Linked DNA regions of Drosophila melanogaster. The protein of the gene in region 1 interacts with the protein of each later gene in a pairwise test. Each region holds a gene or a part of one and is shown in the gene's direction. Other genes may lie near its edges.

Region 1 (6,785 bases):
GTGACGGTGCCGATCTGGTTGACCTTCAGGAGCAGGCAGTTGCAGGCCTTCTTCTCCACGGCGGTGGCAATACGCTTGGGGTTGGTCACGGTCAGATCATCGCCCACGATCTGGATGTCGGTGCAGCCGGTCAGGTTGGACCAGGCCTCCCAGTGGTCCTGGTCAAAGGGATCCTCAATCGAGACGATGGGGAAGTCCTTAATAAACTCCTGGTACAGGTTGGCCAGCTTGTCGGCGGGCAGCCACTGCGACTTGTCGCTCTTCTCGTTCTTGAAGTCCAGATCGTACTGGCCATCCTTGTAGAACTCGGAGGCGGCCACGTCCATGCCGATCTCGATCTTGCCGGTGTATCCGGCCTTGGCGATGGCATCGCTGATCAGGTTCAGAGCCTCCTTGTTGGACTGGATGTTGGGGGCGAAGCCGCCCTCATCGCCCACAGCGGTGGCGTCCAGACCGAACTTGGCCTTGATCACATTCTTCAGGTGGTGGTACACCTCGGAGCCCATCTTCATGGCCTCTGTGAAGCTGGTGGCGCCGGTGGGCAGGATCATGAACTCCTGCATGGCCAGCTTGTTGCCGGCGTGGCTGCCGCCGTTGATCACGTTGAAAGCGGGCACCGGCAGGATGATCTCCTTGTTGCCAGCCAGATCGGCAATGTGTTTGTACAGCGGCACGCCCTTCTTGGCGGCTCCAGCCTTGGCCACGGCCAGGGAAACGCCCAGGATGGCGTTGGCTCCGAACTTGCTCTTGTTCTCGGTGCCGTCCAACTTGATCATGAAGTTGTCAATGGACGCCTGGTCAACCACATCCAGATTGGCCTTGATCAGCTCGGGTCCCAGGGTGTCGTTCACATGGCCCACGGCCTTCAGCACCGACTTGCCATGGTAGTTGGCCTTGTCGTTGTCGCGCAGCTCCAGGGCCTCGTGGACGCCAGTGGAGGCGCCGGAGGGCACGGCGGCTCGGAAGAGTCCCAGCTCGGTGGTCAGGTCGACCTCCACGGTGGGGTTGCCACGGGAGTCGTAGATTTGACGGGCCTTGATCGCTTTGATGGTCATCTCGTTGCTGTCACTGAAATCAAAAAACAAAAAACAAAGTCCACGAGGGCGAATTAGTGTCTGTTATCAGGACTTTAAATCTAGGCATGGTGTTCTATTAAATAGCTGACCGCAGATGAAGCCATTCAGATTTTATGGCGGATGTGCTCCACAATATTTGCGAAATCCCCGCCATTACTTAAATAGTTGGGCTTATTTATATTTAAAATTGTTCCAAATGGACAGTTAAATGATATGTTTCGTGATGCAGTGAAATATTCGGAAATATGTCGAAAAAGAAATACGAACTAGAAAGGAAATGGGAGATACACCTTTGACATACTTTTGGACTTGGTTCTCAAAATATGGTTAGATATTAATAAAAAATTATTTTTTTTTGCAAAGAATTGTAGCTGTGAGCATGTAAGTCACTTGCAATTTGAGCTGTGAGTGGTGTAAACTTATACATATATCCCCATTCGGGTGTGACTTTCTCCACGGTATAATCTCGAAATGCCCCTCCTGAGTTTTCTATATTTAATTTGTCTTCAAATTTCAGTTAAATATTTCTATAATAATTTAGAGTCACTGACACTGGCGGCATTTCCCGCTTTTCCGCTTATCTCAGTGGGAGAGTTTTCAGTTTGCTCTCGCCGAACAACCGAATGACCTCTAAGCTACTTTTAAAGGTCAGACCCAAAGTGAGGCGTCCAGCGAAGCCGCAGTACGTGGAAAAGTTGCGAAAAACGGAAGTATCTCCCTACAGCGATACAACAAATGCCTGTCAATTGAAATTATTAGATTTGTGCAATTAAATCGATTGGAAATATACGTAAACGAGACACTTGAAAATTTGCACAGCACCATTTGTTAGATAATCGCGCGGATATCGCTCGCAAAAAACGCTCGATTTTCAAGCCCTTTCGATTGGGGTGATCTTTGTGAAGTTCGCAGATAAAACAATTAAATATTTTCCCTAAGCTGGATGCACAAGCACACACCAAGAGTCTAGCAATATACATACCAAGTACTTTTGCGGATCTGCACAAATTTAAATCCAGATGAGAGCTGGCTGACTGCTGATTTGCTTCTGAAACGCGGCGCAACGTTTGCCGATTTATTCTGGGGAATTCTGGGGAGAGGCCAGCGCAGACGCAGAAACTTCATGCTAGTGGTGGAAGTCCTCAAGAAAACTGAAGCGGTCCAAGACATGGCTTGAATGTGTAAAAGACGGCGGCGAAAGTGCTACCAATTTGTATCTTGATAAAGGAGTAAAAAATATCATTTAAAATATATATTTTAGTTACCTTACATGAAACTATAGCTCTGTTGCAAGCTATATGATAAATTTAATATTCATAAATTTTAAAAGCTCAGCTTAGGCGATGTATTTTTGCCCATCTCTAAGTGTGGAAAAGAGAGGGACACTTACATTTACTCTCCTTTTATATGTATGCGTTTCCAGGTGCTCGCCGGTTTTCAGTGTGGGGGTGCGCTTTCCCTTTTTTGTTGTTTTCCCTGGTACGTTTCCTATATTTTTTGGGGAAAATTGACCTTCGCACAAGGTTAGAGTAATCGGGATCCACACGTAGCTGTGGATTGCATGTCTATCTACATAATAATAAATGCTCTCGTTAATAAAGCATAAACAATCAAATGGCGTCAAGAGAAGTGTAACAACCAATGATAATGAAATGTTCCCGTGGTTTCTGGACAATCGGGTCATTCAAAGTCACATACTTGTGGTTAGTCACGCTTTTTAGCTGCCATAAATTAGAACAAATAAATGCAAAGCGGATTTTAACAAATCGTACGATTATGCTTATAGCAGCACAGCTGATCGGGAAAAAATTGCATATGTGTTGGTTAACATTGCCGCCCACACGCTGTTAGCTCTTTAAAACTTTCTTTGCATTTTTAAGATCATTCAGTAATATAGAACAATTACAATTTGACTAAATATAATTTTTCTGTTACTTTTTTAAGTTCATCTTAATAATTAAAATCGTAAGCATTTTGAAAATAATAAAATAAGAAGGGGCAAAAATAATTTGAATATTTATGTTCTTTACAACTACTGTTAAATTTAACTTTAAGACCAGGGCTGACAATGGCAGTGTTGGAAAGTCCTCGACTTGACCATATGTTTTGAAAGACACACGCGGATTTTTTGTTTGGAGTTTTCAAATCGTAAAAGCAACATTAAAATGAGCGCGACCAGCACAATAGTTATGCCCGGTGAGCGAATTGCGGCCATTGAGGAGCTGGCCAAGAGCAAGCGGGTGATACTCGGACCGGGACTGCGGCGTCTGGATGACACGGTGGTGGCTAGCAAGGCGGGCCCACTTCGACACAAGGAACCCGGCACCTTCTGGGTGGACAACTACCAGAGAAGGTACATCCCGGCACGCGGGGATCTCATTCTGGGCATTGTGCGAGCCAAGGCGGGCGATCTGTACCGCGTGGACATCGGAGCAACGGACACAGCCTCCATATCGTATCTCGCCTTTGAGGCGGCCAGCAAGAAGAATCGCCCGGATCTGATCCCCGGTGATCTGATTTACGCGAGAGTCCTGAATGCAAGCGCGGACATTGAACCGGAGCTGGTCTGCGTCAACTCGGTGGGCAAAAGTGGCAAACTGGGCGTCCTCACCGATGGATTCTTCTTCAAGTGCAGCCTGAATCTGGGAAGGATGCTGCTGCGGGAAAACTGCCCTGTTCTCGCCGCTCTTACCCGGGAACTGCCCTACGAGATCGCTGTGGGAGTCAACGGCAGGATATGGTTGAAGGCCCATTCCCTGAAAGAAACCGTGGCCCTCGCCAATGCCATTTCAGCGCTGGAGCAATCGGGATGTGCGGAAATCGACAAAATATGTGGCAATCTCGGAGACTTCCTGCAGGCCTAGGATTAGTTCTTAGTTTACTTACTTTTATATAAAAAGAAATGGTTAGCCAAACTGATGGGGTTGAATTTTGATGTGAATGTTGGCGCAAAGGCAGTGTGTTGGAAGCCCTGATTCGTTTACGTAAAAAAACTATCAGAGATGAGCAGATGGAAGCGTTTTTCGTATCTTGGATTATGCTCTACATGTTCTCTCAAGAAAGATAGTACTACCCTTACCTAGCTACCAAAAGGTATTTAAATAATATAGCATCATTCAAAAACCAAGTATAAGGGTTTTATGTCAGATAAGGTGACTACTTTCCGCAGTCACTGCGTCACCTCTGGTGCCCACCAACAGCTGATCGATCAGACCCGCTCGCAGTGATTTCTGTGTGGCCAAGAACAGGTTTCAGTGCCTTCCGTTGCGGCAGAGGACAAAGGTTTCTCCGACCCAGCCGTGCCATACAGAGCCAACGAGATGAGCTTCCTGGAGTTTCTGCTGCTCCTGCTCGTGCTGTACTATGTCGTGTACGTGCTCCTCTGGATCCTGCTCGACTGCAATGTGGCCCTGTGGTACAAGTCCCGTTTCGGAGTCTCGCTGTCGTCGATGCGCGGACAGGTGGTTTGGATAACTGGTGCCTCGAGCGGAATTGGCCGCGCTTTGGCGCTCAGCTTGGCCAGGCATGGAGTGAAATTGGTGCTAAGTGCCCGGCGACTGGAGCAATTGGAGCAAGTGCAAGAGGAATGCCTAGCTGCAGCTCGCGGACTGCTGGCCACCAAGGACGTGCTGGTCATTCAAATGGACATGCTCGATCTCGACGAGCATAAGACGCATCTCAACACGGTGCTCAATCACTTTCATCGACTGGATGTCCTTGTCAATAATGCTGGCCGATCCCAGCGAGCCAGTTGGACCGAAGTCGAGATCGAGGTGGACCGGGAGCTGTTCGAACTGGATGTCTTTGCGGTGGTCCACCTCAGCCGCCTGGTGGTGCGCTATTTCGTGGAGCAGAACGGCGGTAGAGGACACATCGCTGCCACCTCCAGCATCGCCGGCTTCAGTCCAGTGCCATTTTCACCCACCTACTGTGCCGCCAAGCACGCCCTTAACGCCTACTTGCTCTCCCTGAAAGTGGAGATGCGCAAGCTGGATGTGTCGCTCTTCGCACCGGGACCCATAGCCACCGATTTCCTGCAGGAGGCCTTCACTGGCTCGCAGGGCGGAAAGGTGGGTCTGAGTACGGCCAATCAGAAACGGATGACGGCCCAGAGATGTGGCGATCTGTTCGCCGTTGCCTTGGCCAATAAGATGGATCTCACCTGGTGCGGCCTCTTTCCCGTCAACCTCTTGGCCTACTGCGCCCGGAATCCCACGCTGAGCAAGATTCTGGCTCAATTGATGACCGAGAAGACGCTGAACAAGATTCGCGAGGGCAAACTGTGAGAACAACCCCGGTGTGCCTCGCCCCTTCCCTATTCCTGCTCCAAACGGCTCTCAGTCATCTTTTATACTGTTGTATAATTCTTAACTATATACTAAAATATATAAATATGTGCACAAGATTAAGTTGAGTGTGCGTTTCAATCGCGATAATCTTCACAGGCACAGTGGGATTCTACAGTTCCTCCCATTCAATTGGTGAGCAATATTGTGGTAAGCTAATAATCAATTAAGATTTATGAATTCTAAAATATTCTAGTTAACTTAAGTCATTAACCAGTAATTTAGTAATCTATCATCTGGTTCAGATGCATAGATTTTTTTGCCATTATAGAAGAGGGCATATTACACTCAGGTGGCTAGTTAAAGCAGCTCCTCCCACATTATAATGATTTGTCAAGACTGCAGATTACCTTGCATTATCTTATATTTATCTACTTGATCAACCATTCTAATCTAATCTTTTCCTAGCGCTGCCTTGACGTGCGCTGGGATCTTGACTCGTTTTCGTTTCGCCTTGGTTATTGCGGTCTGCTCAACTCCTTTGAGCTGTTGCTTCGCCTTGTCCTTTTTGCTCTTCTTGCAGGACAATGGATTGGGGTTCTTGGGCCCTTTGTGCTTCTTGGGTTTGACTGCAGTTTCAGCTGGCTTCAGTCCCTGCTTCTCCTTCATGTAGTCGATTTTCTCGACCTGTTTGCCCAGCATTAGGTTTTTGGCCCGTCGTTGCACCCACTTCTTGGAGGCTTTAGATGGTGCTTCCAAGACGGGAGTGGCTTTGTGCAGATAGAGCAGACAACGTCCGGGAATCTTGCGAAGACTCTCCTGCAGCAGACGATCTTGCGAGGCAACCACATAGCGATTGTCTTTGGTCTGAAAGGCAAGTAATCATTTTATGGCTATAGCATACTTGAAATCAAGTAACTCTCAATTTACCATCGATTTGATGCATTCGGAAGCGGGGACTGGTTTTCCTTCGTGTCCGCATTTGTGGACATGGAATCGCTTGACGATGGATGTGGCTCCAGTGAGAGGAGCACCCAGGGATTCCGACTCCAGAATAACACACTGGGTGGTCAGTAGCTTAACGCCGCACTGGAAGTACTTTTTAATCTGCTCATCTATGCCAATCTTTTGCTAAAAGTAAAAATTAACTATGGATATCAACAAGTGCTAGAGATGATATAAGCAATAACCCACCTGAAGGGCTGCTTGGCAAAAGGTGGCATCAATTAGCACTTGGTAGGGTTCCCGGTAGTCGAAATTGCTGGCAAAAAACACCAGAGTTTTGTGCGACTTCTTAAAACGAGATATTTTCATGATATTTGCGGGTGGGTAGTCACCAAGTTTTATCAAGTAAAAACAAAAACAGCGTGCAAGTACAGTGTTGAACAGCGTTCAAGCTCAGCTGTTCTCGCCTAACAGACTG
Region 2 (6,919 bases), on another chromosome or scaffold:
GTGGAGCAAAACAATGTTTAATTTAATTCCCTTTTTCTCAATGAATTTGAAACTTACTGGGCTGGACAGGCACGACTTAAAATCCTCAGGCATGTCGGAGACAGAAACGCGATCGTGAGGACGCTTGGGTCCCGAAACGGAGGTGACCACCGTCGACAGATCCAAGGTGATACTCTGTAGAAGGGATGTATGTTAGCTTAAGTTTTTAGTGGTATATGTAAGGCAATTTCAACCTGAGTAAACTTGGGATCTTGGGCCGCATCAGCATAGTTGCGCAGCTGCTGAGTTGCCTTCAGATACTGGCGAATGATGTCGATCTTCTTTTCAGACCGATCTAAAAAGTTTGTTATGATATAGGTAAAATATTGTTTTATGAAACAGTCTGGTTTTCCGTACTTGTCTGCTTCATGTAACCAAGAGTATTCTCATCGATGGGGAAGTATCCCACGGTGGCTCCGTATTCGGGACACATATTGCTGATGGTGGCCCTGTCAGCAATGCTGAGTTCCGCAACTCCCGGGCCGTAAAACTCCACAAACTTTCCCACCACACCCAACTGGCGCAGGTGCTTGGTAATGGTCAGCACCAGATCGGTGGATGTGACCAGTGGGCTCAGTTTGCCCTCCAACTTGTAGCCAATTACCTCGGGCAACAACATGGAAATCGATTGGCCCAACATCACAGCTTCCGCTTCGATGCCTCCCACTCCCCAACCAAGTACGCCCAATCCATTTATCATCGTGGTATGGGAATCAGTGCCCACCACACTGTCGGGATACAGAATCTTGGAGCCATCGGTTGCGTCATTCTCGAACACCACGCGGGCCAAGTACTCCAGATTCACCTGGTGGACAATACCGGAGCCAGGTGGCACGATCAGCATGTTGTTGAAGGCCTTGGCTCCCCACTAATTAGGAAAAACAATATTATTAAAAATACTATCTGGATAATAAGCTAAGGAAAAGTAACCTTCAGGAAGGTGAAGCGCTCCTTGTTGCGCTCAAATTCCAGTGACTGGTTCTTGGCCAAAGCATCAGGCGCACGGGCGAAGTCCACCTGGACCGAGTGATCGATGACCAAGTCGGCGGGGCAGATGGGATTGATTTTCTCCGGGTCGCCGCCCAGATCCAAAACAGCATCGCGCATAGCTGCAAAGTCCACCACAGCAGGAACTCCAGTAAAGTCCTAGTAGCAAGATATTATATAATTTAAATATTACTTTGCTAGATTGCCGTATGAAACTCACCTGCAGGATGACACGGGCCGGCTTGAAGGACACCTCCACATCGTTGGATCCCTGCTTGAGGGCGGGCGACCATCCCAGGATGCTCTGCACGTCCTTCTCTAGGATATGGAAGTTGTCGCAGTTGCGAACCGCCGACTCCAAGAGCACTCGGATCGAGTAGGGCAGTTGATCTACGCGTTGGAAATGTTAAGTGTTAATCAAAGTGTTTAGAATTTCATCACAGGTACAGTAAAGCCTCTTGGTGAGAGGACCTAAGACAATTTGCCGCACTAAACGTATGTATCTTTAAAAAACCTTTAAGTTGCACTTGTTGAATTAAAATTCACGAGTAGAGTAAAGAACCTCCCTTTTTCTATAACCGTCCACCTTAGTTAGTTTAAAGTGTGCTAGTCAGATAGCAGTCACTTCTTATCACAGGCACAATGATTACGTTTGTCCAGCACTTAATGCGATTCACAGGCGTCACTATATGGGAGGAGCCACCAAAGAAGCCCTCACCTCAGAACCCCGATTTCTGGACACGCGCGGTTCCAGTAAAAACATTCCACTGATCTTGAGATTTTTCGGAGTCATCGGACTACGACCCCAAATCAGCAGATCTGCGAAGTTTTAATTCGCTGATAAGTGAGCACGTAAAATTGGGAAATGGAAATCAAATTTCGGAGGCACACGATTCGTTATCACCGCTAGACGAGCCCCATTATGAGGCAATCTGGCGGTGATAACTTTCGCTTTCGGCGCAAGACAAGCCCGCCCATAGAAAACTATAGAAAATCCACTTAATGCTCCGGGAGCACCTTCTACTTGACATTGCCTGACTTGCAAATTGAGCTGTTCTTCTACGCTTCTTTTTCAATTCAGGGGTCAAACTCCAACTTCAACAGGTGCTTAATTAATCCCATTTTTGATATGCATGTTTAGCCTAGTTTATTGCGACCACGTAGACAGACACGCCCACTTTTAAAGCCTTCTTAAGACCACATCCACTTACCATATTTACTATCGATGGAGGCGAGGTCAAAGTACTTGTATGTTGTGCCGGCCTGGGAGAAAGTTTTCTCGAACTGGGCGAAGGGATTGGCGCCTGCGACGATACGAATGTGTTATATAAGCCACAGGATTCGGGGGACAGGGTATATGGTAGTCGAGGGAACTGCAAAGCTCCGGACTGGCAACCCACCTGACATCTTATTGGAACTCTTTACTGAACTTATTCCGGACGAGCAAAGCAAGAAACTGATTGGAGAAGCAGTTCGGATAGGAGCTGGCCAGCCTTCGCTGTCTATCGATAGCCAGCGATAGTTGCGTATATCGCCAGTCGGATCGACAGTGCATTTTATACATTATATATGGTGCATTATATTTTATAAAACGATAGCTTTATGTTCACTTCTCTTTTTCTAAAATGAGATTATAGTGTTCTGCGCTTGGTATGTTATTATCATATGTATTAAATGCAGTAATAACTATTCGGATATTTATGTAATACACCATCTTTTGAAAAGCCTGAAATTTGTGCAATTATCAGTAAACTAAATCGACGAAAATAATTGAAAGTTGTATAACATATGGTTCATTTTTAAAATGAAAACTCCACCCGCCAAACCTATCAGTAATCGACAGAGCTCGTGCAATCGCAACATCATATTGCACCGATATGTCGAGGGAAAATTGAAATCGTTATCGAAAATACGAGGCGATAGCACGCGCACGTTGTTTTCTTTGAATATTAGGAAAATATAATATGAATTTACCAGCGAAAATGGACGTGGAAAAGGATAAGCTTCGCCAGATGCACTGCGAATTCAATCCCTTGTCGCGTTGCGACGGATCCGTGATGTACAGCCAGGGTATAGCCGTGTTTTCAACTCTAGTACATGGCCAGAACCGGCTAACATGGTCTTGCCAATTTCAGGTGCTACAGGTCTCATAGGCGCAGTTCTCGGCCCCATCGAGGTGAAGACCCAAAACCTGAGCATAGATGGCAGCTACTTGGAGTGTAACTACCGACCAAAAGCGGGCCTGCCGCAGGTTACCGATCGGATTCGGGAGGCGGCCATTCGGGATGTGCTGGAACTGGCCCTCCTGTCGGAGGCTCATCCGCGCTCCAAGATGTCCGTGCAGATCCAGGAGCTGGAAGATCGTGGCAGTGTATGTTTTTGAATCTCCTTCATCTGTAATCCTTCTAACAATATATATATTCTATCAGATTGATGCCTGCGCCGTAAATTGCGCCTGCCTAGCCATGCTCATCGGAGGCCTGCCTTTAAAGTATAGCTTTGCGGCTGTCCACGCCATCATCAACGAGCAGGGCGAGTATGTGCTAGATCCGGACCAAAGTGAAACCCTCCACCAGCGCGCCAGTTTTACATTCGCCTTTGATTCTGTAGAAGGAAACCTTTTGTTGATCCAGACAAAGGGCTCTTTCAAAATAGCCCAGTTCAATGATATTGAGTGCCTATGCCTGGCTGCCAGTGCCGAGATCTTTCAGTTCTATCGCAACCAGGTTGCAAAGTATCATGGCAGGAGTGAGGCGACGGCTAAGAAGGAGGACGTCAATGAGACGTGATGTTAAAACAACTGAAACTACGATTAAAGCTCATTTTATTGTATTAACTGTCTGCTGTGAAAGTCGGTTATGTTGCTCAGCTCGAGGGGCGTGCCCTTCAGCACCTGTGAGTTGGATTCCTCAATGCGGACGGCCAAAAAGTCACCTACTCCAAACGATTTTCTGGCTGTGGAATCTCCAGATATGGGTACATATATAGAAGGAACTATGACCTTGATATTGGCATCATTCCGACCGAACCAGTGAGCATCGGACCTCTTGCTTTTCCCTTCTATAAGTATGAGCTGCTCCTGGCCTTCCATTTTACGATGTAGCTGTGTAGCTCCCTCTCGGAAAACCTGGACCATGCGCTGCAGTCGCTCATTCTTCACGTTTATGGGCACATCATCTTTGTAGCGCCGATGGGCAGTGGTCTTTTCTCGCATGCTGTAGGCGAACAAGTAGGCCACGTTGTACTGCACTTGTTGGATAAGAGATACAGTGTCTTGGAACTCCTCTTCCGTTTCACCGCAAAAGCCGCAGATAAAATCGCTGGACAGCCCCACGTTGGGCAAAAACTGTCTGATGTGCTGCACAAGTTCCAGATAAGCCTCTCTGCTGTAACCACGTCGCATCCTTTCCAGAACTTGGGTATTGCCCGATTGTGCTGGCAGGTGAAGTTGCTTGCACACATTCGGGTGATCTCTGATGACCTCCAGAACTTCGTCGGAGAAATCCTTCGGATGCGGCGAGGTGAAACGGATGCGCATGTCTGGAACAGCTTGAGCCACGGATCGGAGCAATGCTGCAAAGGGAGTCCCGCCTGTTTTGGGCTTGTAAACAGTGCTAAAACCGGGCACTGGAGTTGCTTTCAGTGAGTCCTGTTCCTCCTGCGCAGTTCTGTCTCTGTACGAGTTGACATTCTGACCCAGCAGGGTGACCTCCTTCACGCCCTGTTCCGCCAATGCCTTGACCTCAGCCACAATGGATGCCAGGGGGCGAGAGCGCTCGCGTCCACGGGTGAAGGGCACTATACAATAGGTACACATGTTGTCACAACCGCGCATGATGGACACAAAAGCAGTGGGCGATTCGGAGTTTAAGCGAACGGGCATCACATCCGCATAGGTTTCGTCCAGCGAGAGGAGCACATTGATGGCCGAGTTGCCATAATGCCGGGAGATAGCCAGTAGTCGCGGCAAATCCTTGTAGCTATCGGGTCCGGCGATTACATCCACACATTGCTCCTGTTCCAGCAGCTTCTCCTTTAGTCGCTCCGCCATGCAACCCAGCAGTGTCAGCTGTAGAGGATGCCTCCGCGTACTGCGTTTGTTCTTCATGGCTCGCAGGTGCTTCAATCGGTTCCTGATCCTCTGCTCCGCTCCATCGCGCACTGCGCACGTTACGAGCATTATGACATCGGCCTCCTCCGGCTCCTGGCATCTCAAATAACCATTCTCCTTCAGGATACTGAACACCACCTCCGTGTCATTCGTGTTCATCTGGCATCCGTAGACCTCAAAGTGGACCTTCCTTCCGTTTCCATTGAAATCAATCGAGTTCAGGTACGGCACACTGGTGTCCACATGCTCCTCTTCATCAGTTTTCAGTCTTGACGCAGGCTTGACCGCAAAAAAGTCTTGGAAGCCCGGTCCGCGTTGAATCCTCTCCAGAAAAGTTGCACGTGCTGCCGGCTCTGATTTTAGTTGACCCGCTGCGCTGGAGGTAACGGATGTCGTAGCTCCTTTCGAGGCAGTCGTGGAGGCATGCCGCACTTGGCGAACAAATGCCCGGTAGCTTATTTTCATGGCAGTTATTTATTTATGTAATTTTTATGTTTCTGTTCAAAGAAGTGGTATTTTATTAATGGTATTACAAGTGGTATTTTTCAGGGCTGGAAAGCGTTGTTTACCTGAAACAGCTGGGAGGATGATTTTTATTCGCCATCTAGTGGACAGTAGCAAGACCTTGTAGTTTAAAAACTAGCCGCTTGTTGTTTTTAAAAAACGTGACAGTTTTAAATTGTTCCGCTAAATTTTAATTGATGAATTTCGCTTTTTATTTATTAAAACTAATAAATATGGAGTTAATTGAGCGGGTAAAAATGAAAATATTCTACCTTTAATGGAATTTAAGTAGTTTTTGGGCTCAAACTGCATCTCATTCATTGAAAACTATCTCTTTTGCTATGGTAAACATTTTGCGATTCTCAGAAAACAAGGCATAATTACTTTTGGCTTAAAGACTCTTCATGCCAGTTAGGGAATGCACTTGGCTTCCTTCCGTAGTTAAACACTCAAGCGGGTTTGTCCAGCCGCACATTTGAGGACAGGTTGGCCAAAGTCGGCTCAGCCGTAAGAAATTAGCTCGGCCTCATTATGAGCTTATCGTGGTCGGGTTAATAATGCACAGGTGAAGACAATGCAATTGCATGGCCAACAAATGCCACGCCTTCGTCTGCTCCTGATTCCGATTCCATGTCTGTGCCTACAATTTGCGGCTTTTGTGGGTCAATAACTGAGTAATTGCATTGCCAACGAGTGTGGGCCATAAATATAGCCAAATTCGTCGGTCGAAGTGTTCACAAGATAATTTCATCGCTTTAAATTACTTTGCGATATAAATAATATTATAATACAAGTAATATAACATTCTAAATGTAACTAGTTTCAAAGAAAATGCCTATAATCCTTTGCAGTCTCGCCCATTTTCGATCCTCAACTTGGTTGGGCAAAAGGGGCGGAAAAATTGGGAGTGGGAGCAGCCGAGCACACATATTTTGTAAACACTTACAAGCAGAAATATTTTAATGAAAATGAAATGAAAATTCCACTTTCGGCCAAAAGAATTTCGTAATTACAGCGCAAAAAATTCGGTAATTAAATTCATGAAGTTTTCGGCTCAAAGACGGCAAGTCCGGAGGGAGCCACTTGGAGCTCGGGCGGTTCCCTGGCACTCGCATCCTTGTAAGTGGACTGCTACTGGCTGAAAGGCCTTATGCTTTCCGCGTTCTGTTGGTTAAGCATTTTCTTGTATTTTGTCGGCACTTTTCCGCTAAAGTTATTTTCCCCTGAGCTTTCCCTCTAGTCGGCTGCTATAAATCTTGCAGCTCGGTTTTTTTGGGG

Evidence for each region.
Region 2: the proteins of Rrp40 (region 1) and Rrp46 interact in a two-hybrid assay, tested with the Drosophila melanogaster proteins (one large-scale study listed by BioGRID).

The regions. Positions count from the first base shown.
Region 1 is NT_033779.5:1,725,588-1,732,372, forward strand, and holds Rrp40 (ribosomal RNA processing 40), read left to right. Parts: upstream 1-3,144; 5' UTR 3,145-3,241; coding exon 3,242-3,940; 3' UTR 3,941-4,175; downstream 4,176-6,785. Other genes in the region: Eno (enolase), read right to left, coding at 1-1,068, 2,059-2,246; CG31937 (uncharacterized protein), read left to right, coding at 4,397-5,362; CG17652 (uncharacterized protein), read right to left, coding at 5,816-6,229, 6,293-6,493, 6,557-6,676. UniProt on the Drosophila melanogaster protein: Non-catalytic component of the RNA exosome complex which has 3'->5' exoribonuclease activity and participates in a multitude of cellular RNA processing and degradation events.
Region 2 is NT_033777.3:10,410,383-10,417,301, forward strand, and holds Rrp46 (Rrp46), read left to right. Parts: upstream 1-2,918; 5' UTR 2,919-2,990; coding exon 2,991-3,096; intron 3,097-3,161; coding exon 3,162-3,397; intron 3,398-3,455; coding exon 3,456-3,815; 3' UTR 3,816-3,850; downstream 3,851-6,919. Other genes in the region: Irp-1B (iron regulatory protein 1B), read right to left, coding at 58-174, 234-334, 397-907, 970-1,185, 1,247-1,416, 2,238-2,330, 2,427-2,433; CG6345 (uncharacterized protein), read right to left, coding at 3,851-5,602.